Pelodiscus sinensis: one gene and its partners. The main gene of each other region encodes a partner of the protein of the gene in region 4 in a complex. Links are inferred from orthologs where the notes say so. Each region holds a gene or a part of one and is shown on either strand. Other genes may lie near its edges. The genes, in order: NUP85, NUP93, NUP107 and NUP98.

What was found.
Region 1: NUP98 (region 4) and NUP85 share a complex: the UniProt entries of both Homo sapiens proteins name them as parts of the nuclear pore complex. The link is inferred for Pelodiscus sinensis from reciprocal best matches to the Homo sapiens genes NUP98 and NUP85.
Region 2: NUP98 (region 4) and NUP93 share a complex: the UniProt entries of both Homo sapiens proteins name them as parts of the nuclear pore complex. The link is inferred for Pelodiscus sinensis from reciprocal best matches to the Homo sapiens genes NUP98 and NUP93.
Region 3: NUP98 (region 4) and NUP107 share a complex: the UniProt entries of both Homo sapiens proteins name them as parts of the nuclear pore complex. The link is inferred for Pelodiscus sinensis from reciprocal best matches to the Homo sapiens genes NUP98 and NUP107.

The regions. Positions count from the first base shown.
Region 1 is NC_134730.1:12,413,183-12,421,030, forward strand, and holds the start of NUP85 (nuclear pore complex protein Nup85), read right to left. Parts: upstream 3,001-7,848; 5' UTR 2,901-3,000; coding exon 2,868-2,900; intron 2,211-2,867; coding exon 2,120-2,210; intron 995-2,119; coding exon 832-994; intron 85-831; coding exon 14-84; intron 1-13. UniProt on the Homo sapiens protein: Essential component of the nuclear pore complex (NPC) that seems to be required for NPC assembly and maintenance. As part of the NPC Nup107-160 subcomplex plays a role in RNA export and in tethering NUP96/Nup98 and NUP153 to the nucleus.
Region 2 is NC_134722.1:43,933,514-43,941,523, reverse strand, and holds the start of NUP93 (nuclear pore complex protein Nup93), read left to right. Parts: upstream 1-5,004; 5' UTR 5,005-5,109; intron 5,110-5,843; exon of another isoform or gene 5,844-5,996; intron 5,997-6,242; exon of another isoform or gene 6,243-6,578; intron 6,579-8,010. UniProt on the Homo sapiens protein: Plays a role in the nuclear pore complex (NPC) assembly and/or maintenance. May anchor nucleoporins, but not NUP153 and TPR, to the NPC. During renal development, regulates podocyte migration and proliferation through SMAD4 signaling.
Region 3 is NC_134711.1:63,434,257-63,442,242, reverse strand, and holds the start of NUP107 (nuclear pore complex protein Nup107), read right to left. Parts: upstream 3,008-7,986; 5' UTR 2,852-3,007; coding exon 2,814-2,851; intron 2,497-2,813; exon of another isoform or gene 2,348-2,496; intron 1,012-2,347; coding exon 926-1,011; exon of another isoform or gene 882-925; intron 1-881. UniProt on the Homo sapiens protein: Plays a role in the nuclear pore complex (NPC) assembly and/or maintenance. Required for the assembly of peripheral proteins into the NPC. May anchor NUP62 to the NPC. Involved in nephrogenesis.
Region 4 is NC_134711.1:325,796,611-325,803,963, forward strand, and holds the start of NUP98 (nuclear pore complex protein Nup98-Nup96), read right to left. Parts: upstream 3,006-7,353; 5' UTR 2,849-3,005; intron 1-2,848. UniProt on the Homo sapiens protein: Plays a role in the nuclear pore complex (NPC) assembly and/or maintenance. NUP98 and NUP96 are involved in the bidirectional transport across the NPC. May anchor NUP153 and TPR to the NPC.

The DNA of each region.
Region 1 (7,848 bases), on a different chromosome or scaffold from region 4:
AACAATAACTTACTAGCCAACTGGTGCATCTCCTCCATACAAGCTCTTATGACTGAACGGTAGTTTTTACTCACTAGAACCAATCTGTGAAGAATACAAAAATCTTGTTTAGAGAGATTTATTTATTGTTAGTCTTGTGCCTACAGGATAGTAGGGCCCCAATCCTACAAGTTTCTCTGAAGAGGCAGATCTCTCCTGCACTGTACTGAAGTCAGTGGGGCTCTACACAGGCATAGAGGTCTATTTGCAGGATTGGGGCCAAATTTTGTAAAATGGTAACAGGAAAAATTAGTTACACAATATTACTGAGACTCACCAGCTAAGAGAATTTCAGTTTCATTATTCCACTCATTGGAGAAAGATTTATATGTTTGGTAGAGGAAGGGGAACAATATACTGGTCATTTTCTGCACAGAATAATTATTGTATCACCTTACCTCACATTCTAACAAGACAATCTGTAAAAGGCATAGGGGATTTGCTCTCCTACCTCGTATCTACAGATGAGGCAGTAGAGATCAACAGTAAAGGAGAGTGGGCACAAATAAAAGGAACAATCAAGATATTCTTTATTAAATTCAGTCAATGAACAAAGGTATATACTGTATGAATTGTACCTTTGGTAACTCACAAACTTACCAACCTAACAAGATGCACAGATGCAACACTATTTGAGAAACAGATCTGACGGAACTATTCCCAACCTGCCTTCGCCCTCCACTATTAAGTGGCACATCTAAATTATGCCTCACTACTGATCTCCATGGGGAACAGGGAAGCAGACATGTTCTCTTTTTGTTTCAACAGTATCTAGCATTTCTGTTTACTCACTGTGCCTTCTTTGACTTCCCAGCCAATTCTTCCTCACTCTTCTGTAGTCCAACAAAAATCCCATGGGATTCATTGAAGAGTTTGCGTAATGTCTGTGAGTACACATCTTGATCTTTGCGAACAATGAAAATATTGGGGCAGCCTAGCCCTTTCTCTTCACGTCCTGAAATGAAGCATGTAAACCATAAAATAGCCAAATGAATGCTATGGCTCTGCAGAATCTCAGTCCTATTGGATAGTAATATACTTCTGTACTTACAGTAATGGTTCTTAACATATTAACTGGAAATTTATTTGGTAAAAAGTCTAGGAGTCAGCACAAAAATAGGACAAGAGGCACAAAACTATTAATAAAATATCAGACCCTCTGTAATATTCAATTCCACAAAATTCCTTAATAATTTGCATGTGATAATGAAAATTCAAATCTGCTCAATATAATTCCTAAGTCTGATCATGTATGCTTACTGTGACTGAATGTATGAGTCTAATGTGCACAAATGTGACTGAATTCTTCACCCAGCTCTTAGCTGTTTAACAGTGTTGCTAACTCTCACATCATTTGGTGGTGTTCTTGAAGCCTCAACTCCTAGAATCAAATGACCGGCCAAGAAGTTTCTAGCTCTCGTTGCAAAATAAAACTTGAAAAACATGATCTGAACGTACACCAAATTCTTTAAAAGGCAATAAAAAGAACCCCACGCTTATTTTCAAATATCTCATTTTAAGCTAATTTATTTTGGGATCTAATTTACAGTTTCTGAACACTAGGGCTACGTCTACACTGGCCCCTTTTCCGGAAGGGGCATGTTAATTTCACCTATCGTAGTAGGGAAATCCGCGGGGGATTTAAATATCCCCCGCGGCATTTAAATAAAAATGTCCGCCGCTTTTTTCCGGCTTTTAAAAAAGCCGGAAAAGAGCGTCTACACTGGCCCCGATCCTCCGGAAAAAGCGCCCTTTTCCAGAGGCTCTTATTCCTACTAGGAATAAGAGCCTCCGGAAAAGGGTGCTTTTTCCGGAGGATCGGGGCCAGTGTAGACGCTCTTTTCCGGCTTTTTTAAAAGCCGGAAAAAAGCGGCGGACATTTTTATTTAAATGCCGCGGGGGATATTTAAATCCCCCGCGGATTTCCCTACTACGATAGGTGAAATTAACATGCCCCTTCCGGAAAAGGGGCCAGTGTAGACGTAGCCTAGAGGTTGTCAATACTCCAGTTTGCTCTGCATTAATATTTAGTAAAATCCACCCAAGACAAGCATTCAAAAATGAAAGAGAAGCTATCCACCTTTTGGGAACAAAGTTTCACACACCAGCATCTCTCCAGGTCCCCAGTCAAAACACATCTGCTTCCGATTGGAGTCCACTCCAGGAATCAGCTGTTAGGAAAGAAGGCAGAGGGACTATCAAGCATGTGGCTGCTCTCTATGACAACAGAGCAAGCAAGCGGGATTCCTTTTCCTCTTTCAGAGTATGTCTCCCTTGCAGCCTCCCAATTTCAGTCCACAAGCTTGTGGTAGTGGGGCCCACAGTAGCAAACTCAAATTAGCTGTTTAGTGTTGCAGCCCGCATTCTTAACCCCAGGAGAGGATGGGGTGGGTTTGAGAGCCATAATGTAAAAGCAATATCTACAAAGTCATTTTTAGCACACTAGGGCAAGGCCCCATTAGCACAAGTCTATCTAACCAAGCTGGGATGCTTGCTCCCAGATACAAGAGAGATGCCCTCAGTTTGCCCATCTGTAAAACGGGGATAATGATCCTACCCTCTCTTGTAGAGCACTAGGTACTGCGCTAATGATCATTGCATTTTTTTTTTTTTGCGCGGGGGACTCATCTGTGCTAACAAAGGGAGATAATCAGTAATGCACAGGTACGGGGGAGGGGCCGAAGTGAGGCACAACAGCTCCCTGCCCCGCACAGCCGCGCCCCTCTCCCCGCAGGCCCCCCCTCGCCTGTTCCCTCCCCCGCCCCAGAGCTTCTGGCAGGGGGAGGAGGGTCCAGCCTCCCCAGAGGTAGGGACTCGCTCTGCCGTACAGTGACCGCCGGCTCCACATCCAGCTCCTCCATGCCACCAGCGCGCTCTCCAGGCCGGGGCCGGACAGCGGAAGCGAAGCAGCTCTGCCGCCACCACAGGCCGCCTGCACTCAGGGCGCCAGGCAGAGAGAGAGGCCCCTAGTTCGGAGCTGACTACTGCGGTGCCTGCACAAATCTACGCCACCTGGGCCACATTGCTGCAGCTGCGCTTCTCGACTAGCTCCTTAGGAAGGGGGGGAATTGCGTGTGTTGGAAAGGGTGAGGGTAAGTTCTCCCTTTTGGGGCTTTTATGTTGAAATGGGGGGCAGGCGCTCAATAGACAGCCCGATGGCGCAACGAGCGCTGGAAGGACCCCGCGAAGCTATATAAGCGGGAGAGGCGGCCCGAGTCAATGCATTCGGAGGGGTGGGGGTGGGTTGGGCTTCATTGGGTTGGGTTCTTTGCTCGTCCCTCCCTAACGCTGGCGGCTCGGCTCAGCTGCTCGCGGGGTGGCGGTGTCGCTGGCTGTGGGGCGCCCTCACGTTGCCCATCAGGCTGGAGCGGCAGCCCCTGGGGCGTTGCTCTAGTCCCGGGGGAGGGCGGTGCAATGGCTCTCGCGGGTGGGCTCAGGCGGTGTCATGCTCAGTCCAAACAGCCTGTGGCAACATCATGCTGGTGTGTAGGGATCCAGAAATAAGGGGGTGGGAGAGTTGTGCTAGCAGAGCTGGAGGGCTCTCCCACTGCTGGCCTCTCTTCCTTCCAGCTGCATAGGTGGGGATGATGGCATACATTGGTGTAATGGAGCAACTGCTTAACCTGCTCCATACCTGGATTCATGCTGTAGGTGGTAAATTCTGCACACAGATATAGGTATTTGAGTCTCTGAGTGTTAAGTGACAGATGATGAAGGGAAAGCTGAAGTACTCAATGCTTTCTTTGCCTCTGTATTCGCAGACAAGGTGGGCTCCCAGACTAATGCGCTAAGTGATGCAAGATGGGATGAAGATGGACAGCCCGTGGTGGGTAAAAAACAGGTTAGGAACTATTTAGAAAAGCTAAATGTACTCAAATCCATGGGTCCGGAGTTAATGCATCTGAGGGTACTGAGGTAGTTGGCAAATGTCATTGAGGAGCCTTTGGCCATTATCTTTGAAAAGTCATGGAGGTTGGGAGAAATCATGGATGATTGGAAAAAGGCAATTGTAGGGCCCATCTTCAAAAAAGGGAAGAAGGACGATCCAGAGAACTATAGGCCAGTCAGTCTTACCTCGGTTCCTGGAAAAATCACGGAAAGGATCCTTAAGGAATCCATTTGAAGCACTTGGAAGAGAGGAAAGTGGTTAGGAATAGTCAGCATGGATTCACAAAGGGCAAGTCGTGTCTGACCAATCTGATTAGCTTCTATGAAGAGGTAACTGGCTCTGTGGATGTGGGAAAGTCAGTGGATGTGATGTACCTTGACTTTAGCAAGGCTTTTGATATGGACTCCTACAATATTCTTGACAGCAAGTTAAGGGAATGTAGATTGGCTAAATGGATGGTAAGATGGATAGAAAGATGGCTAGAAGTCCGGGCCCAGCGGGTAGTGATCAACGGCTCGATGTCCGGATGGTGTTCGGTTTCTAGTGGAGTGCCCCAAGCTTTGGTTTTAGGACCGGTTTTGTTCAATATCTTTATTAATGACCTGGGTGAGGGGATGGATTGCAGCCTCAGCAAGTTTGCGGATGATCCTAAGCTAGGGGGAGAGGTAGATATGCTTGAGGGCAGAGATAGGGTCCAGAGTGACTTAGACAAATTGGAGGATTGGGCTACAAGAAATCTGATGAGGTTCAACAAGGAGAAGTGGAGAGTCCTGCACTTGGGACAGAAGAATCCCAAGCATAGTTACAAGCTGGGGACCAACCAGTTTAGTAGTTCTGCAGAAGAGGACCTGGGGGTTACAGTGGATGAGAAGCTGGATATGAGTCAACAGTGTGCCCTTGTAGCCAAGAAGGCTAATGGCATATTAGGTTGCATTGAGAGGAGTATTGCCAGCAGATCCAGAGATGTCATTATTCCCCTTTATTCGACTTTGGTGAGGCCACATCTGGAGTACTGTGTCCAGTTCTGGGCCCCCCACTACAAAAAGGATGTGGACGCATTGGAGAGGGTCCAGCGGAGGGCAACCAAAATGATTAGGGGGCTGGAGCACATTACTTTTGAGGAGAGGCTGAGGGAGTTGGGTCTGTTTAGTCTGCAGAAGAGAAGAGTGAGGGGGAATTTGATAGCAGCCTTCAACTTCCTGAAGGGAGGTTCCAAAGAGAATGGAGGCTGTTCTCAGTAGTGACAGATGGCAGAACAAGGAGCAATGGTCTCAAGTTGTGGTGGGAGAGGTCCAAGTTGGATATTAGGAAAAACTATTTCACTAGGAGGATAGTGAAGTACTGGAATGGGTTAACTAGGGAAGGAGTGGAGTCTGCATCCCTAGAGGTGTTTAAGACTCGGCTTGACAAAGCCCTGGCTGGGTTGATTTAGTTGGGATTGGTCCTGCCTAGAGTGGGGGGCTGGACTTGACCTTCTGAGGTCTCTTTCAGCTCTATGGTTCTATGATTCTAAGGTAGAGTGTAGTCCTCCATCCCTTGCTACCCTGTACTATGGACAGGCCTCCCCATTTATGATCATAACAGGGGCTGATAACAGGGAGTTGAGAGGGAGTTTGGAAAAAAAAAATCTTACCGTTCTTAAAAAATCTTTTCACTAAACTATTATCAAAACTTCCTAAGCTCTGGTGGGCCTTCAGGGGTTGATTGCATCAGAGGCAAGGCTTTGAGACAGGCCTAGCCTCAGCCTTCTTAAAAAGGCAGCCAGAGCAAACGCAGAGAGCAGCAGCCAACCTGGGAGTTGGCCTGGGAATTCACCCTAGGAGACCCCCATAGTGTTTAGTGCTCTTTTCCTTGAATTTTTTTTTCTTTTCTCTCTCCTGCCCTTCAAGGAGGCATTTAATAACATCTGAGGATACTCTCAGAAGGAAGGCAGGTATGGATGGTGATAGGTCTGCTGTTGTTACCTGCACAGCATGTGCCATGTTAGTCTTCCTCCCGGAAGAAAGAATGGATTTCATCTGCTCTAAGTGCAAGCTGGTCACCATTTTAGAAGAAAAAATTAGAGGACTTGAAGCCTAGGTATCAACCCTACATTCTATCAGAAAGGATGAAGACTTCCTTGATAGAAGGCAGCATTTAATCCTGCAGGCACAGCAGGCTGAAGAGCCAGTCAGGGCAGTACAGGACAAGGAAGAAAACTGGCACCATGTCATCTCTAGAAGGAGAAAGCCAACTCAGGTATCCCCCATTCCTGTAGAGGTAAGTAACTGCTTTCAGGCTTTCTTCACAGCACTGCGGTGGAGAATGCTTTGGCAGGGATCTCTCAGGGAAGAAATTAGAAGAGAACACCATCTACCAGAAGGCATGGGATGCCTCGTCCGAGGGATGGGGGTTCCACGACTACCACCCCCAAAAGAAAACAGGTGGTGGTGGTTGGGGACTCCCTCCTAAGGAGGACTGAGTCATCCATCTGTCGTCCAGACCTGCAATCTCGAGAAGTGTGCTGCTTACTGGGAGCTTGCATTCAGGATGTGACCAAGAGACTTCCGAAAGTGATTAAACATTCGGATCGCTACCCATTCCTGCTTCTCCATGTAGGAACTAACAATATGGCCAAGAATGACTTTGAGCGGGTCACAGCAGATTATGTAGTGCTGGGAAGAAGGATAAAGGAATTTGAAGTGCAAGTTGTGTTCGCCTCCATCCTCCCAGTTGAAGGAAAAGGTCTGGGTAGGGATCATCAAATTGAGGAAGTAAATGTGTGGTTGCACAGGTGGTGTCAGAGGGCTTTGGTTTCTTAGACCATGGGACTCTGTTCTGGGCACAAGGATTGTTAGGAAGAGATGGGATCCACCTAACCAAGAGAGGAAAGAGCATCTTCATGGGTAGGCTTGCAAATCTAGTGAGGAGGGCTTTAAACTAGGTTCATTGGGAGACGGTGACCAAAGCCCTGAGGTAAGTGAGGAAGTCGGACACTGGGAAGAATCACAAGGAGGAACGAGCAACAAAGGAGGACCCCTCTTTTAGATGGAGAAAGCAAGGCGATCAGCTGGTTATCTAAGGTTTTTGTACACCAATGCGAGAAACCTGGAAAACAAACAAGAAGAATTAGAAGCCCTGACCCACTCAAAGAACTATGATTTGATTGGAATCACAGAGATAAGGTGGGATGACTATACCCTTCCATGACAGTGCTCCAGTCATGCTAAACTGTTCAGGAAGAACAGGCGGGGGAGAAAAGGAGGAGTTCTATTGTATGTAAGAGCATATGATTGCTCGGAGCTCCAGTACTTAGAGGGAGAAAAGACTGTCGAGAGTCTATAGGTTAAATTTAGAGGTGGAAGTGACGGGTGATGTTGTGGGTGGTGTCTGCTATAGACTGCCGGATCAGGTAGATGAAGCTTTCTTTGGACAACTGAGAGAAGCTTCCAGATGGCAGGCCGTGGTTCTCATGGGTGACTTTAATCACCCTGACATCTGTTGGGAGACCAATACAGCAGTTCAGACAATCCAGGAAGTTTTTGGAGAATGTTGGGGATATCTTGGTACAAGTTCTGAAGGAACCGACCAGGGGCCATGTGCAGCTTGACCTGCTGCTCACAAACAGGGAGGAACAAGTAGGGGAAGTAGAGGTGGGTGACAAGCTGGGAAGCAGTGATCATGAGATGGTAGACTTCAAGATCCTGACCAAAGGAAGAAAGAGTAGCAAAATACACACCCTGGACTTCAAAAGAGCAGACTTTGACTCCCTCAGAGAACTGATGGGCAGGATTCCCTGGGATGCTTACATGAAGGGGAAAGGAGTCCAGGAAAGCTGGCAGTATTTTCAAGAAGCCTTATTAAAGGCATGGGAAGAAACCATCCTGATGCAGAGCAAGAAAAGCAAATATGGTAGGTGACCCCATTGGCTTACCGGAGAC
Region 2 (8,010 bases), on a different chromosome or scaffold from region 4:
TGACGAAAAAGTTAAGGAAATTGGCCTCTTATAGGAAGGTTTTGGAAGATGAGCTGTTGGAGGACCAATCTGGATGTGAAATATTGCTTGTCTGTAGAAATATTTTTAAGAGGAGGTGGACAGAATCATAAAACTGGAAGGGAGCTAGAGAAGTCATCTTGTCTCCAATAATGGTGATTCCATAACCTTGCTATGCAATTTATTCCAGTGCTAAACCTGACAGGAAGGTTTTTCTAATAACCAACCCAAACCTCCCCTTGCTGCAATTTAAGCCCATTGCTTCTTGTCCTATCATCAGAGGTTAAGGAAAATATTTTTTCTCCCTCCTCTTATAACAACCTTTTAGGTACTTGAAAGCTGTTATCATATTATCTCTTTTCCAGACTAATCAAACTCAGTTCTTCCAAGCTTCCTTTGTAAATCATGTTTTCTAGACCTTTTATCATTTTTATTTCTCTTTTGTAGACCTTCTCCAATTTGTCTACATCTTTCATGAAATGTCACACCCAGAACTGGACACAGTACTCTATTTGAGGTCTAATCAGCGCAGAGTAGACCAGAAGAATTACTTCTCATGTTTTGCTTACAACACTCCTGTTAATACATCCCAGAATTATGTTTGTTTTCTTGCAAGTGTCACATTGTTGGCTCATATTTAGCTTGTGATCCACTAAGACCTCTAGATTACTTCCTACAGTACTTCTTCCTACACAGTTATTTCCTATTTTGTATGCATGAAAGATATTGTTCCTTCCTAAATGGAGTACTTTTGTCTTTCTTCAATTACATCCTGTTTACCTCAGACCATTTCTCCAGTTTGTCCAGATCATTTTGAATTATAGTCGTGCCATCCAAAGCACTTGCAACTCCTCCCAACTTGGTATCATCTGCAAACTTAATAAGTGTCCTCTCTATACCAATATCTTACTTGATAAAGATATTGCACTGGTTCCAAAACTGATCCTTGTGAAATCCCACTCGGTATACCCTTCCAGCATGACTGTGAACCATTGATAACTACTCACTGGGAATGGCTATCCAACCAGTTACGCACCCACCTTATAGTAGCCACATCTAGATTGTATTTCCCTAGTTTATTAATGAGAAGGTCATTCAAGACTGTATTAAATGCTTCACTAAAGTCTAGTTATACCACATCTACCACTTCCCCCTTATCCACAAAGCTTGTTATCCTATCAAAGAAAGCTATCAGGTTGGTTTAACATGATTTGTTCTTTTTGCAAATCCATGCTTCCTGTTACTTACTACCTTTTTATCTTCTAGATGTTTGCAAATGGATTCCTTAATTATTTGCTTCATTTTCTTTTCTAGTACAGTAGTTAAGCTGATTGGTCTGGAGTTCCCTGGGTTGCCTTATTTCCCTTTTTATAGATGGACACTATATTTGTCCTTTTCCAGTCTTCTGAAATCTTCCATGACTTTTCAAAGATGACAGTTAATCGCTCAGATATCTCCTCAACCAGCTCCTTGAGTATTCCATTATGCATTTCATCAGGCCTTGCAGGATCAGATCCAGGGATTTCAATAACTGAATAGTCCCTATGCTGGGATGCAAGGAGGGAGCCTTTTTGAACCCACACTGTCACCTTACAAATCTGTGCCAATTTAGTCCATACTAATGGCTTGGAGTCTTGGTTGCATCTTGCAGGAAATGGGAGCTATTAACCAAACCCCAACCTGGAATTCTTTCTTCCTAATCAAATTGGATGGAAGAACAATCTTATGCCCAAGCCAAGGGCAGGGAATCTCTGTGTATTCCTTGTGTTTCCTGTAATTTTGCAAATCACTATTGTGCACTATAGAAACTTTAAAGGACTGCAGAAAAAAGAAAACATATTAAGAAAAAAATCCTCCCTCTACTATCTTTATGGTAGACAGTTGGTATTTTGAAGTAGGATGCTGGATCCAGTGTCCTTGAAGGCCAGTGTCTGATGCTGGTATTATGAATGTCAGACACCAGACGATCACGCAGCTCCATGTCACCAGTGAGGCAGACAGCATGAAACAAATCCAGATGGCAAGGTAAAAAACTATGAGGCAGGAGGGAAGGACAGCTGTTCTCTGGCTGCCTTTTAAATAATGTTGCTGATCTTTCAACAAAAGCACTTAAAAGCCTTCAAACAGGCAGCATCTTTAGCTATTTAACCCTCCGGCAGCAGCCAAAACTAGTAAAATGAGACTGGGAGAATCTGCTCATGAAGAGGATTTGTTAGCGTTGGCAAGTAGTGCATATCTGGAGAGAGAAAGGGGGAAGCAATCACTTTCTTATACTCCCTTGGCTATGTCTAGATTGCATCCCTTTTTCGTAAAAGGGATGCAAATTAGACGTATCGCAATTGCTAATGAAGCAGGGATTTAAATCTCCCCCGCTTCATTAGCATCAAAATGGCTGCCGCTTTTTTTCAGCACGGAGCTTTGCCGGAAAAAAGCGCCAGTCTAGATGCAGATCTTTCGGAAAATAAAGCCTTTTCCGAAAGATCCCTTATTTTAAGAGGGATAAGGGATCTTTCGGAAAAGGCTTTATTTTCCGAAAGATCCACGTCTAGACTGGCGCTTTTTTCCAGCAAAGCTCCGTGCCGAAAAAAAAGCAGCAGCCATTTTTATGCTAATGAAGCGGGGGAGATTTAAATCCCCGCTTCATTAGCAATTGCGATACGTCTAATTTGCATCCCTTTTACGAAAAAGGGATGCAATCTAGACGTAGCCCCTTGTGTGGCAATTTGATGTATTTGTGATTCCACATGGCACAAGAGGGGCATCATTAATTTTCACATTGTTAAATGAAACAATTATTATGCCTGGATGCCATAAACTTATGTATTCTAAAGGAAGATGTTTACAGAAGAAATTCAGGATGGGGTTATGTTGGAAAAAGTCCTTCCCTGAAATCAGCCAGGCTGTAGGGTCAGAAATAGATTTCTAACCTTAGGGGTTTTCTAAGGGAATTTCCACAGCCCACCAAGTGGGTAGCACCAGCTAGGAAGTGGGCATGGATGGGGCAGACGACTAAATCAGTGATTCTCTTCAGTAGCCTTAGCTAGTACAGCTTCCTTAGGGTATGTCTGCACTAGGAGATTATTTCAAAATAACTAAATTCAAAATAATAACTTCTGAAATAAAACCAAAGTGTCCCCACTACAGGGGAGTCTTGAAATTAGTATAAGGCAGGCTCCATTGTTGTGGACATGATACCTCAACTTTGAGCCCCAGGAAGCACTGGGGAATATTACTTTGAATGACTTTAGGGAGCAGTTATTTTGAAATAGCAGCAGTGGAGTGTCCACAGTAACGCTATTTTGAAATAACCATTATTCTTCGAGGAAAGCAATACAGATTTTGAAATAACCAGGCCATTGTTTTGAAATAATAGGCTTGGTAGTATGGATGTTTCGCTTATTATTTCAAAATAAAGAGGGTTATTTTAAAATAACTTCTTACTGTAGATCAGGGCTTAAGAGTCCTAACTGTAAAACAAAGTTGCTCAATTCCCTAGTAGTAATCTTGAGCTGTAGGGTGGTGATTGTACCACAGTTGCCCATCCTTTGAATGCCTGTGGTTAATTTACATCGCTCTGCAGCAGCCCTCTGGAATGTGGCCATACATACAGCTGAAAAGTGTATAAATGGGACATTTTTGTTAATTCTTACCCCCATACCAAACTGAACTAGAAACTAGGAACCAAATCCTTCTGCCAGTCGTGTGATCCAGCAACTCCCCAGACCAGAGAATCCCTTCTGTTGGCATAGGTAAATGCTATAGCAGCACACAGCACAGGGCATGGTGGGCATAAATCAGGAGTAACTCCATTGCTGTCACTGCAGCACACGGCTATAAGGCAGAGGGACCCATGCTCCTTGTCTGCCTAGTGCGTGGGTGAGCAATAATTTTTGGAGGGGGGGCCACTTCGAGATTTTGGAAAGCGGTGAAGGGCCACACTTTTCTGTGGAGGGCATACAAGGTCCAGGATGGAGGTTGGGCACAGAGGGTAAGGGACTGAGGTGCAGGAGACAGTGTGAGGTCTGAGAGGAAGTTTGGGCAAAAGAGGGAGTTGTGACCTGGGTTTGGGGATAGGGTCAGCGAGGGGTATGGGTGCAGGAGAGGGTTCTGGCCTGAGAGAGGGGCACTAGAGCTATGTCTACACTGGCGGGTTCTTGCGCAAGAATGGCCATTCTTCTGTAGAGCATCCATACTGCTCGCCTGCTCTTGCACAAGAAGGTTTACAGTAAAGTGTGGTAAGAGAGGACTTCTTGCACAAGAAGCTCTCTTGTGCAAGAGGGCAGCGTGGAGGCGCAGCAGGGGTTTCTTGCACGAGAAAGCCCTATGGCTAAAATTGCCATCAGAGCTTTCTTGTACAAGAGAGCGTCCACACTGCCATGGGTGCTCTTGCGCAAAAGCACATGGCAGTGTGGATGTGTTCTTGCACCTGCCAGTGTAGACAGTGTAGCCGAGGTGGGGGTGCAAAGTCTGGGAGGGAGCTGTGACCTGGGAGAAGGGGAAAAGGGGATGCAGGCTATACCGGGTGTGGGTAGTGACTTGGGGCAGGGGAATGGGGTGCAGGGTCTGGGAGGGTGTTGGGGTGCAGGAGAGGATTCTGGCCTGGGGGTGGGTATAGGGGGGTACAGGGTCTGGGAGAGAATTGTGTCCTGAGGCAGGGGGGTGCAGAGGGTTAGGATGGTGACCTGGGGAGTTGGAGTATGTATAGGAGGCACAGGGGTGCCAGAGGCTGGGCTCCCTGCCTGCTGCAGCCCCAAATGACTGACAACGGCAAGCTGCAAACACCACGTGGCGCTCAGCTCTGGGAGGGGAAAGAGATTTGCGGGGCTCCCATCCTCCAATCTCTCAGATCTTATTGGCTGGTTGTTTCCAGCCAATAGGAGCTCAGAGATTGCCGGGGTCAGTTCCTATTGGCCGGTTGTTTCTGGCCAATCGGAACTAAGGCTTGGGCTGGGGGCGGGGAGATGGCAGGACGCTTCCCCCTCCCTGCAGAGCGGAGAGAAGCGGGGACTGAGCTCTGTGCTACGTGCCTGGGGGGGTCCCGGCAGGGGGGCCCGCGGGCCGGATCCAGTGGCCCTGGCCTAGTGACCGCAGGCAAGGCCATCAGCCCCCTGCTCAGGCAGCGATCGCGCCTCCTACCCGCCTTGCTTAGTTAATTTCGCCACGTGCGGGCTCTTCCCATCCCAGGCTCGTTCTGGTGCAGGGCAGGCGGAGCGCACAGCGGGCTTGAGAGCGGTGCGTTCAGCTGTTTCTGCAGTGCCAGGCCCCAGGCAACCTCAGGCAGCTGGGCCCCCTGCCCAGCCCCAGCACGGATGCGATGGAGCGGGGCCTAGGCCAGGGCACCAGCTGCCTCAATTGCCGAGGTGCGGATGGATCCGCTCCTACTAGGTTCCCGCTGGGCTCTGGCCAATGGCCCCTACACACCCCGCACCACTAGGGATTTCCCCACCTCGCCCGGCCCCCAGGGACCCCACTCTGGGCCCGACGCCCGCTGCCCACCAGGGACCCCACTCTGGGCCCGGCGCCCGCTGCCCCCCAGGGACCCCACTCTGGGCCCGGCGCCCGCTGCCCCCCAGGGACCCCACTCTGGGCCCGGCGCCCGCTGCCCCCCAGGGACCCCACGCTGGGCCCGGCGCCCGCTGCCCCCCAGGGACCCCACGCTGGGCCCGGCTCCCGACGCCCCCGGGGACCCCACGCTGGGCCCGGCGCCCCGGGGACCCCACGCTGGGCCCGGCGCCCGCTGCCCCCCAGGGACCCCACGCTGGGCCCGGCTCCCGGCGCCCCCGGGGACCCCACGCTGGGCCCGACGCTCCAGGGACCCCACGCTGGGCCCGGCGCCCCCGGGTCCGAATCCCTCGCTAAGCGTTTCAACCAAGCTGAGCTGACGTCAGTGGCGCGGGGGCCGCTGGGGGAGCGGCGCTTCCTCCAATCAGCGCGCCCGGCGCGGAGACAGCGGCTCCCGCAGCGGAAGGAGGCGGCAGGTAGGCGCGAGCTCAGGCCGGCGGGCGGGGGCGCCTCGTGCTCGCGGCTACCCCCACCCCGCCCCCGGCGGTGCCGGCCTGGCGAGGGGCCCTGGGCCCACGGGGGCGCCCGGGGACTGTGCCAGGGGCGCTCCTCGGTCCGGTGGCCTTGGGCTCGTTCCTTAGCCCCTCGGCCGCGCCTCAGGGGATGGGGGCGGCCCGCGGGGCGATGCCAGGCTCCTCTGGCGTGTCCGCCCCTTCCCCGCCGGAACCGGCTCCGCCTGCCCCGCCGCCCGCGCGGGATGTGTCCTGCCCGGTGACCGGGCTGCGGCGTAGCCGGGCGTGTCTCCAGTGTCTCCGTCCGGCGCCTTGCCCGAGGGAGCTAAGCACCCCTCCACACGGGCGCCTGGTTCCCCAGAGAGTCCCGCCCACAGTGCTTGGCACCTGTTTGGGCCCGGAGTACCCAGGGGTTTCTTCATGCGGCCTGGATTGGGCTGGTTTATTGTAGCCTCTGCTTAATGCTGCAGCGCAGCACTACATAGGCACGTAGGACAGGGATCTGGAGGAAAAGTCTGGGATCTAATTGAAACGCCATTTGGGAATGTAAGTAGGTGGAATGGGAGGCCTTGCGGAGTACTCTGTCTGCTGGTAGACTAGTGATAGAGATGGAGCCGGGTTAGTCTGGTGTAGCTGAAACAAAAAACAGGACTATGTAGCACTTTAAAGACTAACAAGATGGTTAGTCTAACGTGATGAGCTTTCTAGGGCCAGACCCAAGTGGGTCTAATAAACCATCTTGTTAGTCTTTAAAGCGCTATGTAGTCCTGTTTTCTGTCTGCTGGCTGCTTGTGTAACCCACACACCTACTGGGTGTGCTGCACTTAGATGCTTAGAGAGAAAGATTGAGTGTGCTCTACTGCCTCAGCTGAAAGCCAGTTGGTCTAAGCTCCAGGGGTCCCCGGTTCAGTTCTGCTGGTGAACCCTACACTTTGTGGCTGATTCTTGCTCATATCTGTGGGGTCATACTAATGGCCGTATGTGGGGGAGAGGGAAAGAATTGTTCCTCAACTCAAATTGGCAATTAACTTGGTAGGGTTTTGCTCCTGCAGCATGAGTGCATGGTGGGGTCACTTGTCACATTTATCTGGGTATATCTCACAATCATTTTCCTGCATTTGTGTCCTTGCTATTCACTGCCTAAGGCACTTAACAGTCTAGTCACCTGTGGGCTGCAATACTTTGGCATAGTTTTGGTTGTTGAATTTAGTGTTCAGATGGGTGGTGGTGATCTGTGATGGATAGGCGGTCCACCTAGATTGCGGTCCTCAATCTTTTTCTTTCAGAGCCTTTCCTTCCCCCAATATGCTATACAAACTCCATGGCTCACTTGGGCTACAACAATTGGTTTTCAGGTATAAAACCCAGGGCTGGCATTATGGCAGGGATGGGCAATAATTTTTGGCCAGGGGCCACTTCAGAAACTTTTGAAGTAGCCCTAGGCCACCCAGGAAAGGATGGGGCCTCAGGTAGAAGGAGTGGGGCTAGGACACTTCTGTGCTTTCCCACCCATAGACCCTGCTTGGTCTGGGGATGGGGGATTGTGCAAAGTTCCCCTCCCCCCGGAGAGAATGGCAGTTCCCTCTAGGTACCTGTGCCTGTGGCAGTGAGAGTAGACTTTGCATGCTTCCCCCTGCTGCCCCCAGGTCAGTCAGGGCCTGGGGAGTGGGAGCATGTGAAGTCTCTTGTTCCCTGCTCGCACCCTGCAAGGGAGCAGCAGCTGGCAGTTGACTTTAAGTACTGAGCCCCTTGCATGGCAGGAGGAAACTTCACGTGCTCCCCTTGCCTCTAATCCCTGATTGGCCTGGGGGAGGGGGGAACTGCGTGAAGTCTCCTCCCACTTTGCCCCTGTCCTAAATGCTCCACGCTCCTTGCAGAAGTGCCGCACCCCTTGCAGGGTGAGAGGAGACTGCCCACTTCTCCCCCTCCTGCAGGCCCTGATTGGCTTGTGGGTTGGGGGAGTAGCAGGCCACCGCTG
Region 3 (7,986 bases), about 260 Mb from region 4:
AGAGACCATATCAATGTGAGGGTTTTTTGTTTTTGCTTATCACGCGTGTGGCCCCCCAACCTATTTTTCTGAGGGTCTGAAAACCCCCAAAAAGGTTCCCCACCCATGCATCACAGCATCTTAAGAAATCCTTAAGATATCACAGGGAATGTCCACTTAGTCCACTAAATTTACCAAGGCTAAGAGATAATTCCTGTTAAAGAAGCCTGAAATATTTACCTGAGATTTAATAGCTAGAGGACTAAGGCTAAACCTACTAAACAGAGGCGGATAGTGAAGATGAGCATGCATACGAAGGGAAACTCACCATAAGGGATCTAGGAAGGTATTAGTACATCAGCCTTTGGCTAGAATATATCTGCTTTATCTGATATTTCATCCCTCACTGAAAGAAAAAGAACTTTCTATATCTGCTCTCTAATTACACAAGTCTGCTAATTGCTTGGGGGAGGGGAACAGGGAGAAGTATTCTCTGCTCCTCAACCATTTCCTCAATTTGTTTTGTGGTTCCCTCCTACTCAATACATAATTCCAGTGCATGAAGGCAAATCTAAAAGCAAACCAGCATGGAACTGACATGATTCCTGTCAAATTCCCTGCTGCTCTTTGGAATAGCGAAAAGGGTCAGCATCTTGTTAGTTTTATTCTGTTGTAGTCAGAGAGCTACCAGCAACAGCAGACATGTTGGGCTCCTTTACTCTCAGTGTCAAATTTTTAAAGTACACATTAATGTAACTTGTGACTTCAAATGTGTATTAAATTAAAGGAATAAGTTTTGCAATATTCTTCAACTGACAATTCAATTTTTGGAAAGTCTTCATTTACTGAACCCCAAATCAAGAAAAGTTAACTGTGGCATGAAGCAATCACAACTTTTATACCTTTTAAAACAGGACAGAAAAAAAGCTTGACAGAAAAAGGATACTAGAAACTCTTTTTTTAGAGCTCTGTTTCCGAGCAGGCCTGGTCACCTCTATATCTGGTGAGGATGACATTTCTCCAAATTCATTCCTACAAAACAGGAACACAGTTGCTACAGTTAAACACATTCAGATGACGTTTCCTAAAAGAATCAGAAGTGTAGCAAGTAACTGGATGGTACTAAATACAAAACCCAATTAAAAAAAGAAACTAACAACAAAAACTTAAAACTGAAATACCAAATACTAATATCTATCCAGAAATAGCCTTTATTGAAAAAAAAAGTCTTGTGGAATACTGGATTCTCATAATGCTGTGGAAGCTACAACCATTAGTCAGAATACTTTTGAGAATGTTGTGCAAGAGCCTTAATATGCTACATTTATGCAAAGGATTTGTTTAATCTATTTCTTATGTAAATATGTTCCATATTAGAAGCTACAGACAGAACACTTGGTAACTTCAGTTGTTTTAGACTAGGGATGTAAAATCCTAACCAGTTGGTTAACTGTTAAACATAATGTTTAACTGCTTACCCCTTTTAAGGTGGGACCACTCCAGCCTGTCTGCAAACCTTGTGTGTAACCGCTGAAATTTTCAGCAGTTACACAGTTACTTAATTACACGCATTTTAACAATTCTAGTGCACATAAAATTCATTCCACACATACGTGAAAAAAATTAGAAGGAAGTGCGTGCTATTATAAATTTGTAGGGCAGACCTGCCCTAAGCTGCCGTGAACCCTTTCTGTAATGTTATTTTAAATCAGATGCTAGCCTTTTCCATAGTCAAAATTAGACTGGCAAAAGTGAATATTTGCCTGAAATTCCAAATCCTGCTAATCTTCCAGTGTTAGATTTTTCTCTGGGAGAACGAGGAGTACAGGCTCTTTCAAAAGGTTCCCCCCACACTCCCAAAAGAACCGCCTCTAGACGGTGCTTTCACTTTCAAAAAACCCTTTTTCAAAAAAGCACTCAGACACCATTATGCAAATGAAGTGCAGGATATTTAAATTCCCACTTCATTTGCACTTTTGATTTGCCTAAATTACATACCTCTTTCGACAGAGGGATGTAGATTAGACATACCCATACAGAGGTAATATGTCCTCTGTGCTCCTACTTGGTATCCCCCCTACAAGGACTGCATTTGCCCTTTTAAATAAATTAAAAACACATTAAAATGTTCAATTAATTATCACTTATGATTCTTAAGTCCTCTCAGAGTCCCTGATTTCCAGAACACAAATCCCAATTTTTCTAGTGTGACCTATACCCTTGGTCCTAAATATAAGACATTGCATTTAGCTGTATTAAAACATGTAACAAGATGCAAAGACTTGAAGTTGAAACAAGACAAATTCAGAGTAGAAATATCTCCATTGTTAAAAAAAGTGAGTGGTATGTGACCATCAGAACAATTTACCAAGGAGATTTGTGCACAAAACAGCCACAGATAGTTGAATCTGCACCATGGAAGATTTAAAAATCAAGACTGGCTATTCCTCATCAAAAAGACATGCTCTAGCTCGACGGGAGCCACTGGCCTGGCAGCAGCAAGAATTACTGTGAAGAAGTGTCAGAGGTAGTTTAAGTCTAACTTGCCTGGACACTCATTAATGGATCTCAAAGTCACCATATTATTTCAAACCAATTTCAAAAGCCAGCTCAAGAGCAGAGCTACAAAACTTATTTTCATTTACAAGTTTGATTCTTACCACGTTCCACATCCTAATGATAAAAACCAAACAAAGGGTACTTAAAATGAGTACTAAATACTCTTACCAGCTTCATGCAGCATGGACACTCTAATTGTCAATTCCTCCCTCCCTTTTTTCTCCTCCTCTCCCCCCCCCATTCCCTTCTCTGTGCTGTTTGAAAACTAGACCCACCCCTTAAACTCCACTGAGCTGTGCGCCCGATAGCTCATGACACCTCCCACATGTTTTGACAGGCGCTAAGGTGCTGCAGGACGCTAGGTTGTTTTTGGAGAAGCCCTGCGGCCCGAGTGACGCGGGAGGGCAGGCAGAGGAGCACAGCAGCCCTTTCCGCTCGGGCCTGGTCAAACCCCCCCCCCCCCGCCCGCATTCACCGCTCTGCCCGGCCCCGCTCCTTACGGCTCCGGCTCTATTTGCCGCCACTCCCGAGAGAGCCGCAGGGGGGCGGGTCTCTCTGCAAGGGCCCCAAGAGCCTATTCCCGCCGCTCGAGAGCCTCAGGGGAGCGCCAGGCCGCGGAGCCGGTGGGGGGAGGGGAGACTTGGGGGTCCCGGCTCGGGCCTTGGCTCCCTCCGGGCCAGGCCGGCCACTATCCCGAGCCCCGCTAGGCTGCCGCGCTCACCTCTCCATGGCCCGGACCCGGAAGCGCGTGCGTTCCTCGAACCGGAAGTTGAACGAGGCCGCCCGATTTGACGGGGAAAGGGCGCGCTTACATTGCGCAGGCGCGTGGCGGCTGCCCGGAGCTCGCAGCCCAAAGGGATCGAGGAAGGCAGCGCGCGCCGCCGCGCTGGGATTGCGCGCGCAGTCCTGCCGCAGAGATCCTGGCGCCTGCTGCTCTCACAGCCCCGCCGGCTTCCCCTCCGCCGCGTGGGAGCTGCCCGCTCGCCAGGCTCTCGGGCTTGCCTGGGCAAGGCGCGCTCCTGTTGGTTTCAGCACAGGACCTGATCTTGGATGAATGATTCCCTGCGAATGCTCGGGCCATGTGGACACTGGGAGATAAGGGAGACTCTATGATGGTCGGTCTCTGGTCACCGGTTCTGCAAAGTCCAGAGGTCCGCGTGCTCGCCGTGGGGAAGATTTGGATGTAGTCGGAACTACCTGCCCCCGTCAGGGACTCCGCCGTCCACTCGGAGCACGATGCACCGTGTAGCTTTGTATTCTGGTCTCTGCTCTGGGTGCCCGCTGTGATCAAAACTGTGCAACTGGTGGTTATGGGTTGATGTCAGCATCCCATCATAGGCTTGTCTAGTCCCTGCCCATGAGATCAGGGCGAAGCAGTCTGTTCCCACCTTTTTCTGCACTGATTTCCCATGCAGATGCCATAGCAGTGCGAGCATGGTTTACAACAAACCATAGTGATGCTGATGTGTGCCGTGGGGCACCTAATGATGTGCGCAGTAATGGCAGATTGGCCACCTGGTTTCCTTGGAGTGCGGCCAACAGTAGTGGCAGTTTCTCAGCTCCTAGCTTTCACTCAACTGCTTCTCTTTGGCCTTTGAGGGAAGCATGAGACAAGGTGCTGGGAGCAGCCCTTCGTTATCCTTTTGCACAGGTGGAATGAAGGTTTTTTTTTCCATAAGCAGTGAAAATAACGTTTCTTATTTACTGTTGTGTCCCCTGAGGAGGGGCTCAGGGCAGAGGAAAGGGGGAGGTGTGATATGACAATGCTCCTAAGAATTGAAAGTGGGGTGCAGTGTAGGGGGCTCAGCAGGCGGTGGCACTGTTGTGGAAGATAGCAGGAGCTTGGGGCAGGGGGAGGAGGCTGGTTGTGAGAGGGTCCAGGAGTCAGGGTTGGAGGATGTGGGGGATGCAGAAGTCAGGGCAATGGGGGTAGGGGGAGGAGAGTGTAGGTGTGATTACAGGGGGGTCAATGGCACTGAGGCATATCTCCCAAAGGATTGCTATGGCCTGGGGAAGGTCAGTGTCAAGGTCTCAATCCTATAAAAACATTCAAAATGGCCAGTGTCTCAGAGCTGGTGACAACCAATGTCCTGAAGAAAAGGTTAGGAAGGGCCTACAGAAACTAGAAGTTATTGCCAGACCATAGGAATTATTGCTGGGGGCTCAAGTCAATCAGGCTATGACCAGATACAGGATAGTATGCACTGGAATTACAGAATGTAAATGTGGCTGCACTGCTAGAGATGGGTTCAGGTAATAAGTGGATTAGAGATGTAAGCAACTAGTCGAGTCACTACTCCACTAGTTGCTTCCTCCCCCCTTGCTGCCTCTATATGAGGCGGGGGGGAAGAAGGGAGGCCAGGGGGGGGAAGAACAGGAACCAGTGCTGGGGGGAGCTGGCTTAAAAACCGTCTCCCCGCAGTACCATCTATGGGGGGGAGCAAGGGGGGCGGAGGCGAATCGGGGAAAACAGCAAGTGCGGGGACTCAAGTAGTGCCCACTTGCACCGGGTCTGACTGCTGCACTTCAGCCTTTTAAGTGTAGCAAGAACCCCATACTGCCTGAGTTCCCACTTGCCCCAAGTTCCCCACTGCCCCTCTGCCTTTTAAATGTAGCAAGAGTCCCTCGGGGCTCTTGCTACGTTTAAAAAGTGGAGGCGCAGTAGTTGGAACCCTCTACTGTACCTCTGCCTTTAGATGTAGTAAGAACCCTGCAGAGCTTTTGCTACATTTAAAAGGCAATGGCGCAGCTGGGATTGCAAGCGCCCCCTCCTCCCCCCATTGCTTATCAACCAATTGAGTACTCGGAAAATCCACTGAGTACTAGATTAGCTGATTAGTCAAAATGTAATATCCCTACAGTGGATAAATGACACTTAGTTCAAAAGAAGAGAAAGTCATCTTTGCACCTTCTGAAGCAGCAAAAAAAGCAGGCAAATAGATTTCTTGCTAGTCTGAATGAGCTAGAGGAGGAGGTTATGGATTGTAAATTTATGTTGAGCAAAATGATCACATCCCAACACAAGCCACTGGTACAGTTTCAACTGACAAATGGTCCTGGCATGATCTTTGTGCCAGTGAGACATGAACAAGGATACAGAGACTGTGTGGGGTACTGTTGATAAGTTTAGGGAAAGAGCGGAAAGGTTTGAGGCAAAAGGTACACAAATTGTAACAGCAGAATTAGAGTGGTCTATCTAAGAATGTTTTGATCTGAAGTTAAACAGCTGGGGAGACCAGTGTCTCATGAAAAAATAGTTTAACAAGCAAAGAAAAAAGACCTCTTTGGAAGAACACATGGCCACATATAGAACTTCCAAGCAAGCAGCCAGTCAGGAACCCTAAATTTAGATAAGCTCTATGAGATCAACAACTACTCTCAAAAAAAATATGCAGTCATATGAACAAGGAAAAAAAAAGGAAGGAAGGGAGGGAACATACCATTCATAAATATAGGGAGCAGACCTCTTGTGATAGAAGACTTGTAAGTAACAGTGAAAACACTGTGATATACTTAAGATATGCTACACTACCGTAATGTGAACCAATTATTATGGATGTTGATCTCTGAGATGTCCAGGCTGCAGTGCAGATGATGTTACCTGGAAAAGCAACAGGACTCAACAAAGTCACAACAGAAACCATCAGAGCCTTGAGAGAGGTTGGCAAATGCTGATTCATGTGAGTCCTGTATGCAAATTGAAGAGAGAAGAAAATCCCAACAGAGTGGAGACTAATTGGTACTAATGTACAAATAAAAATGTGACACATAGGGCCAGAGTACCAAGGAATTAAGCTATCATCCCACTGCATGAAACTGTCCAAAAGAGCCAAATAGTTGAGTGCTTTAGTTTTAGAAAAGTAAAAATTACGATAGATGGTGTAGTCATTGCTAGACAGCTGGTCGAAAAGAAGCTGGAGGGAAACATAGCATGGCTGGGTTTGCCTCAATTGGGGGAACACGTCCAAGAAAGCACCTGAGTTGGCTGTTGGTGCCACTGCTACAATGCAATGGGGATAGTAGCGGATTTTGTCCATATGGTGATGGGTCTACTCCTAGGGGTTACAGAACTCAATGGCCTTTTCTTTATAACGGACAGACAAAGATGCTTGCAGAGTTTTTAAAACTATTAAGTCTAAAATGAAAATCCCAACAGAGTGGAAAATTATAAATAATGTAAAACAAATTATTATGGTAAGGGCTGGTGGCCACACAAGAATGGACTTCATTGTGCTAGACTCTGTACAGACACAGAATTTTGTTTGTGAGCTGGGATTTAAAGTATGGATATGAATATATACCCCTTTTCCACCCAAGAAGTTACCAGTTATTACAAGTTGTAAACTCTGTTAACCCCTCCCCCCCTTCTATTTTATCAACAACTCATTATGAAACCAAGTGAGCATTTCTGCAAGATATGAATACCTAAGAGTAATAATTCACATCTTAGTCTTCAGTTGGGGGCTAGAAAGCATTTTACAAATAAAGCCTCAAACACCTATGTGAGATAAGTAGACAAACCAAATTCAGTGTCGTAAGATTTTAAAAATAATTGTAATGATTTCAGCTATTTAAATCTGAAATTTCACAGTGTTGTAGTTGTAGGAGTCCTGACCCAAAAAGAGTGTTGGTTGTATGGGAGGGTTGTGGTCAATGTTCCCTCTAATATTTTCCATCCATGTGCAGATTTTTTCCATGTGCAGAATAAATTTTATGTGCACTGAGGCATGTGCAAACCTGCACCACCAGTAGAAACACAAAACCAAGCTGTGGGCACTCTGCTAATCAGCAGGGTGGCATTTGGATTTCTCCTGAGCAGTTGCACAAGTGCACATCTTTTATAGGGAACACTAGTTCCAGTAATACTACCCTTATTTCTGTACTTCTGCTGGTGGCAGTGCTGCCTTTGGAGCTGGGCAGCTGAAGAGAGGCAGTTGCTGACTTAGGGTACGTCTAGACTACATGCCTCTGGCGACAGAGGCATGTAGATTAGGCTACCGGACATAGTAAAATGAAGCGGCGATTTAAATAATCGCTGCTTCATTTAAATTTACATGGCTGCCGCGCTGAGCCAACAAACAGCTGATCAGCTGTTTGTCAGCTCAGCACAGCAGCCATGTAAATTTAAATGAAGCAGCGATTATTTAAATCGCCGCTTCATTTTACTATGTCCGGTAGCCTAATCTACATGCCTCTGTCGCCAGAGGCATGTAGTCTAGACGTACCCTAAGCGTCCAGCTCTGAGGGCAAAGCTACCACCAGCAGCAGCACAGAAAGATGGTATCACCACATTACTTCTATGCAGCTAATTGTAGAGCTGGGCCCTCAGTCATTAGCCACCACTGTCCAGTCACCCAGCTCTGAAGGGAGCAGCAAAGTAGTAAGTGGCATGGTATGCTACTGCCACCCTTAATTCTGTGGTGCTGCTAGTGGGGTGCTGCTTTCAGA
Region 4 (7,353 bases):
TACAGCTGACCCGTCTCAGACAAGGGTTTTCCAGACCAGTGAAGGGAGAAGGCAGGAGGCACACAAGCTACCTGCCACTGCTGCCCCGGCCCAAGGGGTTCCAGCAGGTGCCCTGAGACCCACTCCCCCTTCCCTAGCCACCTCAAACCGTAGTCTATGGATTCTGCCGAGCCAGAGTGTCCCGGACCACAGGTTCAACCTGTATATCCTTGTTATTTTTCCTCATTATACATTGAAAATAAAGTATGTTTACTTTCTATTGACCTGATAGTTAAGTTTTGCCATAGTTCCCATACACTGACAATCAAAAGTGCTGCATCCGCTTCTATGATTTAACTTCTCTTTCCCCGTATGGCTTACAGGTGACTGCTACCATTGTCAAGAGACCATTGCCATCTGAGGTCTCTTGACACTTGTCTTTCCAATTCTCCCTTGCACCGAATGCAGTAGCTTCCTCTACTACTAAGATACCTTCAGTTTATCTAACCGAAGGGCTTCTCAGCTTCTGCTAACATACAACTACAGGCAGTCCCCAGGTTACGTACAAGATAGGGACTGTAGGTTTGTTCTTAAGTTGAATCTGTATGTAAGTCGGAACTGGCATCCAGATTCAGCCGCTGCTGAAACTGACCTGCGCTGACTACAGGAAGCCCGAGGCAGAGTTGCTCTGCCCCGGGCTTCCTGGAATCAGCCAGCTGATCAGTTTCAACAGGCTGAATCTGGACACCAGTTCTTACATACAGATTCAACTTAAGAACCCCAGGCGTCCCCAAGTCAGCTGCTGCTGAAACTGATCAGCGGCCGATTCCAGGAAGCCCGGGGCAGAGCAACTCTGCCTCGGGCTTCCTGTAGTCAGCGCTGGTCAGTTTCAGCAGCGGCTGACTTGGGGACGCCTGGGGCAGAGCTGTTTGGGTGCTGCTGGGTTGCTCCAGTAGCGCCGCTCCTCGGCGCTACTGGACCAACCCAGCAGCACCCAAGCTGCTCTGCCCCAGGCGTCCTGATTCAGCCGCTGCTGAAACTGACCAGCGCTGACTACAGGAAGCCCGAGGCAGAGGAGACCAGGGAGACAGGCAGCAAACCCCGTTCGTAACTGCGGATCCAATGTAAGTCGGATCCACCTAACTCGGGGACTGCCTGTAATCTATCAATTTTCATTTTTAAACCAGGCTCCCTTCAGCAGGAGTTGGAGATAACCGACTTTCCCCATCCTCCCTTAAAAGTATTCTTGTATCTAAACCTAACTAAATCTTCTCTTAGATGAACATTAATCCACCCTTCCATGTAATTCTTCTTCCTTGTTTAAAAGTTATAGTACCATTCTTAACTAGTGAGCAGCTAAAGAGAAGAAAAAGTTGTATTCCTTCCCTATCTCCCACCGCATCCCATCTGTAGCTTTAATCATAGAATCATAGAATAATAGGACTGGAAGGGACCTCAAGAGGTCATAGAGTCCAGCCCCCCGCCCTCAAGGCAGGATCAAGCTCCGTCTACACCATCCCTGACAGATGTCTATCTAACCTGCTCTTAAATATCTCCAGAGAGGGAGATTCCACCACCTCCCTTGGCAATTTATTCCAATATTTGACCACCCTGACAGTTAGGAATTTTTACTACACAAGTCACTATTGGCTAAGAGTTTATTTTTGTATCTTTTATGACACCAAGCACATTAAATCTTAAATGATTTCCAGGGCCTTGCTGGAAGTTCCCCATCTCACTCGTGCTACAAAATTACAGTAAAACTCCAACAGTCCAGCATCCAATAGTCCGGTACTCCTGATAGTCCGGCATCAAAATGGCAAGAGCCTAATGAATGAGCTTCGGCAAAAAATGAGTTACAAGGTAACAGCAGCAGCAGCTGAACTGAGCAAAAAGGGTAAAAAAAGGCTTAAAAAAAACTAAAACATTACAGTATACAGTCTGTACAATAAAAAGGGTTAAGAACACTTTATATACAGTATATAATGTATACTATGTGTGTGTGTGTGTGTGTGTGTGTATATACACACACACACACACAACCATCTTATAGTACCTCCTGATAGTCCAGCATATCCAATAATCTGGCACCACCTAGGTCCCATAGGTTCTGGATTATCAGAAGTCTACTATACTCTTACCTCTGGAACATCCAAAAACACAATAGCATCTGAAATATGAGGCTAGTCTCCCCAACAGAGCCCAACACAAAGGGATAATTAATAGTCTCCAAACCATCCTGGCTGATTGGGGGGTGGGAAGGGAAGAGAATTCAGAGTTCAGAGAGAGAAGTCCTAGCGCTGCCCTCCCATTGACTATGTCAGCAGACGGTGAAACTCAAGCTGTTTTCACCGGACACACTGCCTGCCACGAGACTATTAATAATACACCACTGCACCATCCACACACCTCACTCTGGGGAGTCGCCCGCCTCGACCCCCCCCCCAAAAGTAACGCCCCCCCCCCCACTTCGGGAGGGTGCCCATCACCAGGCGCATCCCGACCATGGGGCACCCCAAAGACAAACCCCGGGCCGCCCTAAGGGGGTCACCGCCAAGCCCGCCGCGCTCTGGGGGGGGAGGAGAGGAGACAGCCCTGCCACCATCCCTCCCCCACGCGCCTATCCTGTGCCCCCAGGGAGCCCCCCCCGGGCTCAGCAGCGCGCGCGCGCACTCGGGCACGCAGCAACCTGGGCAGCCCCCACGCGCCAGGCCGGAGCGCGCGGGGAGGCCTCGCGCCCCCCTGGAGACCAGCCCCGGGCGGGAGGAAGCGAGGCGCGCGGCCTGCGCGGCGGCCTGGGGCGAGCCGCGAGCGGCAGAAAAGCGCCGGGCTCCGCTGGAGAGGCCGCGCGGCCCCGCCCGCGCCTTACCGAGGACCCGGGCCCCGCGACGGGAGCGACTCGACCGCGCCGACAGCAAACGGCACCGCCACGACGCCCACCCGTCCGCCGTCGCCTCACAGGAGGGGAAACTGCGTCACACTCCGCTCGCGCTCCCACCTCCCGCCGCCGCGCCCCGCCTCCCCGCGCGCCCTATTGGCCCGCGTAGCCCGCCGTTCCGTCCGCCTATTGGCTGCCGCCGTTTGAAACCGAGGCAGGTCCCGCCTCCGCCTGGCTGCCTCCGCTGATTGGCGAAGGGGACGTTTCGAACGTCACGAGCGACACGAGTTCTCATTGGTCAACATGAGAGCGGTTGGCCCAGACTCCGTCCTCTTCCAGCGGCGCTCTTCCCCACATCCGGGTCATTGAGTCACCTCTCTAAAGGGCGGGGAAAGAGGAGGGGCTTAATCCTGCGCCCGCCAATCACACGGCAGCACCACGTTACCATGGCAACCGGGGCTGGGCCTGTGTTTTCTTGGGGAAAAGACATGGGCCACGTGGTCCGGGTGCCTTCCAAAGTAACCAGCCAGCAGCTCCCCTTGTGTGTCCCTGTCCCTGGCCTGCCCCACAGTGGGCACTGCCCCAGCCCTGCTACCAGACTCTCCCTTAGGAGTCATAGGCCCCAGGGCAGTACTATTACACTGGTGCCCCTCTGCAGCGGGGATGATGATTTTTGTAGAGATGTGATTTTATAATCTCCAGCAACTCTCTCGTGAAATACTTTTAAAACAGATTTTAAACTAAGCTCCTGCAGACTAACACAACTGGTTCGATGTCTTCATTACCACTTGGATAGGCTCCGTGTTGTGCTAATCGCTCTGGCAGGCTTTTTCACTTTTAAGTCAACTAGATCCTCTCCTGAGAAAGCAGAGCCACAGAACAAGGATGGGAAGAGACAAGTGGGTGAACATTAAGACTAAGTGGTGCCCCAAATTTTCAGGTGCCCTTCACGGCCGCGTATTCTGCATATGGATAAGGAGAACCCCTCCTACTGCTTCCCACTCAGCCAAACCCACACCCTAGCCTCTGGCCTTCATTACCTTCCCCATTGCAACCTCAGCCTGTGCTGCCTTCCCATAGCCTCAGCACACTACCACATCTAGTCACTGACTTGTGCTGCCTTTCCAAGGAAGCCCTGTAATGCAATGCCCCTGCCAGAGCTATTTTTGCAAAAACAAATAAGCCTCAACCGCAAAAGTGGCTAAACAGGTTTGATTTCAATGGGGCTACACCTGGTAAAGTTAACTGTGCATAAAAGCTTGCAGGAGGGAGTTCTTTATATTCTCAGCTTCTTGGAACAGGGGCCCCACCTGCTTTTCACTGTGTGCTGAGCAAAATAATGGTGTTTGTGAACTAATGCAAGTGTTGTGATAGTCATATTGATCCCAAGATATTAGAAGGCAAGGTCAGACCAGCTTGGTCCAATAAAAGATACTACCTCACTAACGTCCCCTCTAATCTTTTCCATCCATGGGTAGATTTTTCCCATCTGTATGTGGAATAAATGTTATGTGCACTGAGGCATGTGCATATGTGCACCACCAGATTTTATACTGTTTTCTTTGGTATTACTAATCTTATTTCAGAGCTGGGGACACTGAGACATGGTGCAGAGAAGTTACCTACTCAAGGTCTCACATAGTGAGTCAGTGGCACAGCCTGGGAACACCCAGTCCCAACCCCCAATCTTTTGTTTGAAATATATAGTAATCTGCATGGAACTTGGAAGGAGGATTGTGGTTTGCAAGAGGGAAGAATTCACCCTCACATGGGGACGGGAGGGGAAAGATATACTTAACTAGGGTCTGGAGGCCAAGAGGGGCCTAGCTCAGGCTACAAATTGTGGTATTTGTGTGGGAGAGGGCCCATGTTACAAGTTTGTACTGGGCCCCCCAAAAATATGCTGGGGTCCTGATTCAATCTTTGTACATGGCTGGAAATGTTGGTAACATCAGAGCCTCCGTAAGCAGGTCTATTAATTAAGGACTGTTTGAGACCTGAGTAACAATGGTTAAGACCTTGCTAATATCAAGCAAAGCGAAGTTGTGAGCAAGAGGCAGGCTCCTGCTCACAGAACTTGGCAACAACAAGGCCAAGAGTGTAAAAAACTAATTAGTAATAAGCACAGGTGTAGAACAGTAATTGGCACTAGTTACAAGATGTAAAACAGTAATTGGTACTAGACATAAGTTGAAAGCACATTCAGGAAGGATGGTAACAACACCTCCTTAAAAAGGATCTTCGTACCCACACACTCCCGACAGATACCAACTCAGGTTCAGGAAATGGGCTAAAATGACAGCATAACGGATAGAGATATTCTAATTGAACCATGAGGTGCAGGGTGATGCATGTGTAACTCTTCTGCCAGGTAGGCCCGGCAACAACCGGGGCTGGGTTCAATATCTAGGGGTCCATCTCACACAGAACCGGCTCGAGCCCCCACTCAGTAACCTGGGAAATTCACACACCCCTGGGCACCTCTGAGAGACAATGCTTCCCCACTCGCAAGCATAGAGTCTGAGTGTAGGAAAGAAACATTTAATGAAAGAGAGAGAGAAGTCATACGGCATTAACTTGGAAAAATACCACAAACAGAGTTCACAGCCCAAACGTGAGCTAAGCCCCACTCCAGCCAAGAATCACCCGAAGTCCCAAAGTCCGACACCCCAAAAGTCTCTGTCCCTGCTCAGTGCCACGTAGAGTCCAAAAGGTCACCTGCAGGGTTTTACCTCCCAACCTGGGTGGAAATGGGGGCAAGGAGATAGATAGTGGCATCTTACATGGTCCGAAGCTAACGGCCCCACCTCTCCGTAGGGTTCTGCTGCAGTCTTTAACGCGAGCCGCTCCACCAGCTGTCTCGTTCCACTCCACCGGACGCTCCGCTGGTCGCCTGCCGCTGTTCCTACCGGCCGCCTGCCAGTCGTTTCCACCAGCCACTCCACTGGCCGCTTCAGGTCCTACTAGCCGCCCACTGCTTCACTGGCTGCAATGGGTCTGGCTCCCAGCCAAACCAGTGATTTCAGCTCTTAGTGATTTCAACTCTTTAGCCACCACCTCGACTGGCAAAGGATTCCAGCTTCCATTGGATTAGCAAAAAGAGTCGTCATGGAGTCTGCTTTAGGTCTGTCCTTAAAACGAAGGGCTGTGTCTACACTGGCGCGTACTTGCGTGAAAATGGCCTCTCTTGCACAAAAATATGCCACCTGTCTACACTGGCCACATGTTCTTGCGCAAGTAAACTGACATTGTACTGTAGAAAATCAGGGCTTCTTGCGCGAGAACTCTGACGCTCCCTCTCAGGAAGAAGCCCTCTTGCGCAAGAGCTCTTCCAGAAGAGGCCAGTGTAGACAGGCCACATGAATTCCTTGCGCAAGAAAGCCCTATGGTTAAAATGGCCATCAGATCTTTCTTGCGCAAGAGAGCGTCTACACTGCCATGGATGCTCTTGCGCAAAAGCTCTCTTGTGCAAGAGTTTTTGCACAAGAACTCTTCCGCAAAAGAGTTCTTGCGCAAGAAGCTGCCAGGCTATGTCTACACGGGCAGCTTCTTGCGCAAGAACTCTTTTGCGGAAGAGTTCTTGTGCAAAAACTCTTCCAGAAGAGAGGGTCTACACTGGCATGTGCTTTTGCGCAAGAGATGTGCTTTTGCCCAAGAGCATCCATGCCAGTGTAGACGCTCTCTTGCCAAGAAAGCTCTGATGGCCATTTTAACCACAGGGCTTTCTTGCGCAAGAAATTCATGTTGCCTATCTACACTGGCCTCTTGCGCAAGAACAATTGCGCAAAAGGGCTTATTCCTGAGCAGGAGCATCATAGTTCTTGCGCAAGAAGCACTGATTTCATACATTAGAATGTCAGTGTTCTTGCGCAAGAACATGCGGCTAGTGTAGACAGGCAGCATGTTTTGGCGCGAAAGCGGCTGCTTTTGTGCAAGATTGCACCAGTGTAGACACAGCCTTCTAAAAGAGCTATTGCACAAAAGGGCTTCTTCCTGAGCGGGAGCATCAGAGATCTGGCATAAAAAGCACTAATTTTATACTTTTGGGCTACGTCTACACTGGCATGATTTTGCACAAATACTTTTAACGCAAAAGTTTTTGCGTTAAAGTATTAGTGTGATGGCGCGTCGGGGTTTTCCCGTCTCCTGCACCCCCGTAATGGCACAGACAGACTCCACCAGCCAGTAGAATAGAGAGAGTTTATTGCTTCTCCAGGATACAGCACAGCACATATGTAATCTGGTTACAGGGCAGACCTAGGATGCCTCAGCCCCCCCTTGAGATGGGGGAGCCTGGGCCCCTAAATCCCAGCCCGTTGCCTAGGCTGCTTCCTTCATGATACCAGCCAGAAACCCAACTAACTCACTTCCAGCCCTGCCCCCAGCCAGGGCTCCACTCTCCTTCTTCCCATTGTTCCACTCCCTGGGAGATAACTGGTCAGACAGGTTCGAAGCCTCCTTGCATAATGACTCATCCCCTGCCCTGCTGGGCTGTG